Canis lupus familiaris: one gene and its partner. The protein of the gene in region 1 binds, or shares a complex with, the protein of each later gene. Links are inferred from orthologs where the notes say so. Each region holds a gene or a part of one and is shown on either strand. Other genes may lie near its edges.

What was found. The genes of interacting proteins can lie anywhere in the genome.
Region 2: the proteins of ITGAV (region 1) and ITGB8 are in contact, whole or in part, in a cryo-EM structure (PDB 8TCF), measured with the Homo sapiens proteins. The link is inferred for Canis lupus familiaris from reciprocal best matches to the Homo sapiens genes ITGAV and ITGB8. Residues at the interface, in NP_002201.2 of Homo sapiens: Tyr48, Phe51, Trp123, Leu141, His143, Gln150, Glu151, Arg152, Pro154, Phe184, Gln186, Phe189, Pro204, Trp209, Asp249, Tyr251, Tyr254, Arg275, Arg278, Thr279, Gln301, Met302, Ala303, Tyr305, Phe308, Pro328, Leu329, Met331, Ser335, Asp336; in NP_002205.1 of Homo sapiens: Ser197, Pro198, Ile202, His203, Pro204, Arg206, Ile250, Asp251, Thr252, Pro253, Thr287, Ser288, His289, Leu290, Ala291, Leu292, Asp293, Lys295, Leu296, Gly298, Val300, Pro302, Glu321, Ser324, Leu325, Gly326, Gln327, Glu330, His349, Trp350.

The regions. Positions count from the first base shown.
Region 1 is NC_049257.1:29,233,235-29,236,888, reverse strand, and holds part of ITGAV (integrin alpha-V), read right to left. Parts: intron 2,792-3,654; coding exon 2,666-2,791; intron 2,084-2,665; coding exon 2,039-2,083; intron 860-2,038; coding exon 816-859; intron 716-815; coding exon 659-715; intron 1-658.
Region 2 is NC_049235.1:34,460,622-34,464,275, reverse strand, and holds part of ITGB8 (integrin beta-8), read right to left. Parts: intron 1,157-3,654; coding exon 910-1,156; intron 1-909. UniProt on the Homo sapiens protein: Integrin alpha-V:beta-8 (ITGAV:ITGB8) is a receptor for fibronectin. It recognizes the sequence R-G-D in its ligands.

The sequences.
Region 1 (3,654 bases):
CCTCCTGCAAAGCCATGCACGGCGTCTCCGGAGCAGGACGTGGGCTCGAGTCCCCGGCCCGCAAACCGCGAGACGCTTCTTTTTCCCGGGCCGCCAAACTTCCCCTTTGTCGTCCCTAAATTCTCTGATGCAAAGAGTAGGAAAGGCCATGAAACGCCTGCACCTGCAGAGAACGTCTGGTACCTGAGAGCACTACCTCCCACCTGAAGAACGCTTTCTCTCACGTCCTCGGGCGAAGTGCGCTCACGACACCCGTATTGTAGGCATCGGCGCCACGCTCCGTTTTGCATCCGGTAGGACTACAAGGCACGGAGGACGCCTTTACGGGGAGTTCAGTGTCATCAGCAAAGAAAGAGGAAGTTTCTGTGCTTTGGCGTGTATGGCGTGTGTGTCTGCAATTTCTGTATTTCCTTAAAAAATGAGCCACGTGCAGCGAAAAATGAGCGTGAAAAACGTGCAATTACAGAAGCCCTTCCTTACACAGAGGACTTTGGCCGGAGGTGAACCCTCTGAAGCCTGCTTTACATTCACCACAGTGACTATCAAACCAATATATCCATCTCACAGTCAACGCAAACCATTAGATCATCCGTAAGTCTACGACGTTAGGAATGCAGATGCTACAATACCAAACGAACAAAGCAGTCTAAGAGCGTACCTGGTCACCGGTGAAGTTGTGCAAGGACGACATGTTTTTCCCATCATAAATATAAACCTGTGGAGGAAAGACAAAAGCATATGAAATACGGTCGTAAAACAGAAGATAACCCAGAATTTTTTTTTTTTTTTTTAAAGATTCCTTTTAATTTTCCTACCATTCCCAAAGTCCTCGCCGCTCTCGGGACACCTGAAACAAAGTCTGAAAGGAAAAACATAATGACTCATTTTTTTTTTAAGACTTATTTTATTATTTATTTATGATAGACATAGAGAGAGAGAGAGAGAGAGGGAGGCAGAGACACAGGCAGAGGGAGAAGCAGGCTCCATGCCAGGAGCCCGACGTGGGACTCAATCCCGGGTCTCCAGGATCGCGCCCTGGGCCAAAGGCAGGTGCTAAACCGCTGAGCCACCCAGGGATCCCCATAATGACTCATTTTCAAGACCAAGTATTGAGAACTGCAAGAAGAAATGGATTTACAGGAGGAGCGTTAGGTCCTGTTTTGTTATTTCAGCAGAAAAAGAAGGTAAAAAAAAAAAAAATCTTTGAAAATGGTACTCCACAATAAAGGGCCAGAACATTTTTTTTTTTTTAACCACAAATATCAAATGTCCACAAAATAGAGAAAGATTCTTGAGAACCTTCAGATAAATGCACGTGCGCCCTTAGGCTTTTGTCATCTTATTAAAAAGAGAAGGGTCAGGATAAAGTGACCCCAGAACAAAACTAAGTTGTATCTACAGTGATGAAAAATAATACAGAGTGAGATGGGGCGGAGGCGGCAGGGACACAGGAATGGGGTCAAGATCAGGGGAGTGTCTGGTTCCTAGACTGAGCTCGGTGGGCGGGGGGCGGGGGGGGGGGGGAGCGGGCAGAGGACGGAGAGAATCGCAGGGCGAGGGCCCAGAAGTCACAGGCGGTGCCTACGAGCCCTCCGACAGGACCCGCTCCACCAGAGCAAGAAGAAGAAACTGAAGAAAAACTAAAACGTCATGGGCTGGAGGGGGGCGCACGGGAAGACGCGGGGCCCCAGCCCGGGCGGCACCGACCCCTCGGCCCGTCCCCGCCACGCTCCACGCCGCCGGCCCAGACCCCGTACCTGCTCGGGCTTCGCAGTGTCGCCTGTCTCAAACCCTTAGGCTCTATCTTTTCAGGACGATCACACAGGGGGGTGCCGGGGGCTCCGGCCAAGCGGCTGCCAGGGCCCAGCTCGCCACCCCGGGGCCGGCAGCAAGGTCCCCCCCCCCAGCCCTGCTCCTCCCTCTCCTCCCGGCGGGGGCCCCCTGAGGCTACCTCTCGCTCTGTCTCTAAAAAAAAGGAAAAACTCTTGGAAAAAAAAGAAGAAGAAGAAGGATTAAATACAGTTTACACGCATCATACCATCTACGCCATCGCCGTTAAAATCTCCGACAGCCACGGAATAACCTAAAGGAACAAAACGGGAACCGCCATCAGGGCACAGTCAGTCCCCTGGCGCGCACCTGCCGAGCAGGCTTCCCTCGAGCGTACTTTCAAGTAGAACAGACTCTTGAACAGGGGCTCGAACTGCACAGGCAGGTTTTTTTTTCAATAAATACAGTATCGCACTGTAAATGCATGTTCTTGATGGTTTCTTGATATTTTCTTTCCTCCAGCTTGCTGCATTGTAAGAGTACAGCACATGATACACACGACACGCAAAATGTGTGTCGCTCCCGCCCTCCGCCTCAACCCGCCCCACCTTTCTCATACACTTTCAAAAAAAAAAAAATTAAAGACTTAAAAATTAGTTTAAAAAGTTATTATTAATCATTGTATAAATAACCACTCTTAAATTTCAACCACTGAAATGTAACCTATGTACCCAATAATAACCTGAAATTATGTGCCTATTCTTTAGATTAAAAAAAAAATTCTTTTTAATCTCTTTCAACATAAATTATTTTCCTGCTCAAAGTAGCATACACAAATACAGGACAAATAACACTGCAACTCCATAAAATGAATCCATATTTTGGTTTAACTCACCCAAATAACTGTCATCAAAAATAGCTTGAGCCGTCCGAGTTGCTAACTGGTTATTATACTTGATGCTGTAAACTTTGGGGTCATATTTAGATACGATTTCTGCCACTTGATCTGAAATGAGCTGACCTGAAAAATATATATAAAATCACTTTTTAATGGGAATTTATGATGCAGAGGATAGACGGCACCTGCACACACACATAAGGATAGCACTAGAGATTAGTGTTTGTAATTATTAGCCTTAAACAACTCTCCATAATAGTAAATCTGAAATTTGATATTTTTATAGTCACAATTACTTCTCTTCAAGCTAGTTCTTACAATTAGTCACAGCGAGGAGACAAAAGTTTTATAAATGCAAGATCTGTCTTAATGCACAAAAGAAATTGATGCTAAATAACTGGAGTAATAAAATCAAGAGCTGTTTCCCAAATAAATCCATTAGAATTTGAAAAACCTACTGAAATGACTAAATATCTTTTTTACTTTTACTAATTCTTTTCCCCCACAAATCATTTGGATACCTTTATGGAAAGGCCTGAATGGGTGAGTTCAATTCTTTTTTTTTTTTTTTTTTCAGAACCTTAAAGTTATCAGGTAGACAAGAAATCCTGAGCAGTACACAAAAATCAGATTGTGTTTCCTACCCCGAGAAAGGCTGGCTAATTTATCAAACATCACCTCCCTACATGAAGAAAATAATCTCTTCATTTCTGCCGTTTCAGAGACAAGCTCATAGCTAATGTTTCTCAGTCTGTCCCAATGGTCCAGTCACAAAGGTTGAGTCCGCAGGGTAGGAACACGCTCTGCTGCGGGCCACTTGCTTCATCCCCTGGGCCTAAACAGTACCTAACACGCAGCAGGAATCCAAAAAATACTTCTTGAATCAAAGAACATGGGAAAATCCCGTCATCTCTTTTGAATAAAATATAACTTTAACTATTTGTACAGAGATAACTCTGAGATCTATGGAAAAGATTCACTCTGAC
Region 2 (3,654 bases), on another chromosome or scaffold:
TGCTAATTTTTGAAGTGTTGCTTGGTGTGAAATTATTGATGAAAAATCAGAGTTTATTAAAATTACTTTGAGAATCCTGTGATGTCCCAAGAAGTGAAAATCATTCCTCAGGCACATGCATGTTCAGGGAGAAGGAACATGAGGCTCCATGAGGAGATGTATTCATTCCGACAGTTAGCAGAGCTGTTTTGGTAGATTATCTATAAAGTTATTGGGGCAACTTATGGAAGTAGAAAAGAAGATGTTAAAATGAAATGTTATATTAAAGAGGAACTGAATACATTTCTGAGAACTCAACAGGCTAATTAGGATATTGTCTGAGAAACTTGTATTTTTAAGGTCAGTTCTTGTTTCATGGTGGGCCATATGCTATTTAGAATCAGACTTTCAAAATGATAAGAAAAGCGTCTCTTTCCAGAAAACAGACAAATTCTCATCTTTCCAACTACCCTCCATGTCCTAGCTGAGCTTTCTTTGAAATCCCATCTTAGGTAACATAATTATAAACATAGCAGCAACAAAGATAGTTGTCATACTGGCAATATAAGTACTTTAAATTTGACAAACCTTAATTTAACAAATTTGGAGCTTGAAGACAAATACAGAATTCTCAAACACGTATTTATATGCCTGTTTGCCTGAATATTGGAGGTTTATCCAAGATGACTAATATTATTTGTGAGTTTTTTGTGATGAAACGGAGTGATATTTGAAAAAACATAGAAACTCCAAGCTACACATAATCTCATAAATTTTCAGATAGGAACATACCTCCTCTCCAAATATTTTCATTTCTCACTTAATAAAACAAAAATATAAAATTTAGTAAGTCCTTTATATAAAAACAGAGAGATTTTATAAGAAAAAATTAATTTGGCATTTATGAAGTCCACACCAACCACCAGATACCTGCATTGATTATGAATCCTTTCTGGGTGGATGCTAATGTATGGTGAAACTGTTTTATCAACATAGGAGCCAAATCCAAGACGGAAGTCACGGGAAAAATATGCCATTTTTCTAGATAAATCATTTCCAACGGAATTTAATTTTTCAATATTATTGTGCATTGATGCTGAGACATCAACCAGGTAATAAAGATCCACAGGATATTTCTTCAGAGGATGAATTTTCAGCATAAAATTAGCTTCAGCTTCTGGTTCAAAGAAAGACAGACATCATGTAGTATTCATTTTTAACATCTCAGGATAAGCTCTCAATAAATCAGTCATGCTTTATATACATAACAACTAGCACAAATTTGTGCATAATGAATGAAGTTAGGAATATCCTGGAATAATTTTAAAGCAATTTGAAATCTGTATCAGTTTATTAGTTTCCAACTTATACAATGCATTTCTCACAATTCCGTGGTGCAGATAGTGATAGTAACAAACGGACCATAAAGTTCTATGCTCAATATAAATGTAGTAGAGAATATATTTATCCCCATATGAACTTACTTCCTTTAGTATCTAGGAAAGCACAGCACAATACTGCAAGCAGCATTCTGTCTCAAGAGTAGGTGGCTGTATTGATTTGAAAGAGGCTTTTGGTTTGAAGAAAAGTAGAAAGGCATCTTAAGAAAGTTACCTCTTATTGGATGAGGGTATAAATTCATCCTTTTAGGTTAAGGCATATTTACATATGAGATGTGAAAACTCTGGTACTGAGTAGTATGTTACACTATCCAAACTAAGTAATAACTCATTATGAATTAGATGATGAGATTCCTCCCAACAGTAGTCATGGGATGAGAAGAATGAGACAGTCGTCTAAAGAACTGTACCGAGCAGTGCCACACTAGAGACCTGGGCAATGTAGGGAACAATATTTATCTAACACATAGTAGGTGCTTGATAAACATATGTTGAAGAGGGATCATAGAGGCAAAGGAACTAGATGTGAAGAGTGGGAAATGTGGGAGCTTCCCAACAACTGTGTACAAGACAGTTTTATTTGGTTTTCTGTCTATTATCATTTGATACAAGGACCTATATCACTGTATCCAAGGATATGGCACTCTGTGGAGCTGGTAGTTCTGTATTTAGTTTTTAAAATTATTTTTATCAATAAAATAAATAAATAAATAAAATTATTTTTATCTATTGATTGATCTTATTTGAGTATAGTTGACCCACAATGTTACATTAGTTTCACATATAAAACTTAGAGGTTTATGAAGTTTATACATTATGCTGTGTTCACCACAAGTATAATTACCATCTGTCTTGTTACATAGCTATTATAGTATCATTGTCTGTATTCCTTAGACTGTGTTTTTATTCTCATGTCTTACTCATTCCATAATTGAAAGTCTGTAAGTATATAGTAAAAAGTCATCTATGTAAATATGGACAATTTGTGAACTTTACTGTTTTAAACAATAAAGTAAGTGCTTTGCAAGTCATTATTTGTCAGTGGAGAGTAATTAGTGTAGAACAATTTTTTTTAATGAACACCGATTTGTATATACAATTGATAGCCTGATCTACTTACCAGAAGATATTTTATTTATTATTTATTTATTTATTTATTTATGATAGTCACACACACACACACAGAGAGAGAGAGAGAGAGAGAGAGAGGCAGGGACATAGGCAGAGGGAGAAGCAGGCTCCATGCACCGGGAGCCCGACGTGGGATTCGATCCTGGGTCTCCAGGATCGTGCCCTGGGCCAAAGGCAGGCACTAAACCGCTGCGCCACCCAGGGATTCCCTACCAGAAGATACTTTAAGATATTTTCAGTCTTAATGTATTCAAAAGCAGCGACATTGTCTTTTAAATTATTTTACAAATCAGATGTTTTTAAAATCAGTTATAGAATATATTCAAAATAAGGTTTTTCTGTACGTAATAATAATTATGGGATAAATTACTCATTCCTAATTTGCCTGTATGTGCTGGAAAACCTTTTACTGTAACACTCAGTTTTTTGGCCCAAGAGTTTGGGAGATGTAAAGGCCACTTAGTCCACTCTCTCACTCCTTTCCTTTATGAGCTGGGCTGCCTCCAAAGAGCATATATTCAGCTCTGCTTTTCCAGTGTCTGGTAAAAAGACCTGTCCCTGTGGAAGTGTCTTGCAATTTGGGTGGAGAAGTTCAATTCAGGAGAAAGTCAGAATCTAGACAGGGCCAGATCAATAAGAAATAGAAATGGAGCATAATTAGGGAGCATGGCTCATGTGGCTTAATATGTGGATCAGCTGCTGCTTTTTTTTTTTTTTTTTTAATTTTTTACAAATTGGATGGTCGTTTTTTTAACTGTTGACTTGGGTATAAGGCTAAAGACCTTAGGCACTGGTCACATGGTGTTTTCATCTTGGTGATCATTACAGTTTATGGTAGCTCTGTCTAAAGATTAATGGCTATGTGATTTCATGGAGTTATTGCAAAATTTACCAGATATTTAGTGTATTGTGCAGGTTGTTATAAAATTGGTTGGTTATCTTAGCCAAGGGAATCTGTAAAGGCACAGTCCTTAGAGGACAAAGATATTCAGGGAGGTCCAACCAAATGTTAGCCGTATAGGGGGCCTCAGCACACACTAGCTTCTCTTAACCTTGCAAGCAAATTCCTAGTCTCACTGGCCTCAACAAAGAAGATGGTGGTAAGAAAGCCTGCCAAATGGTCAAGGTTGGAAGGTTTAGGCTG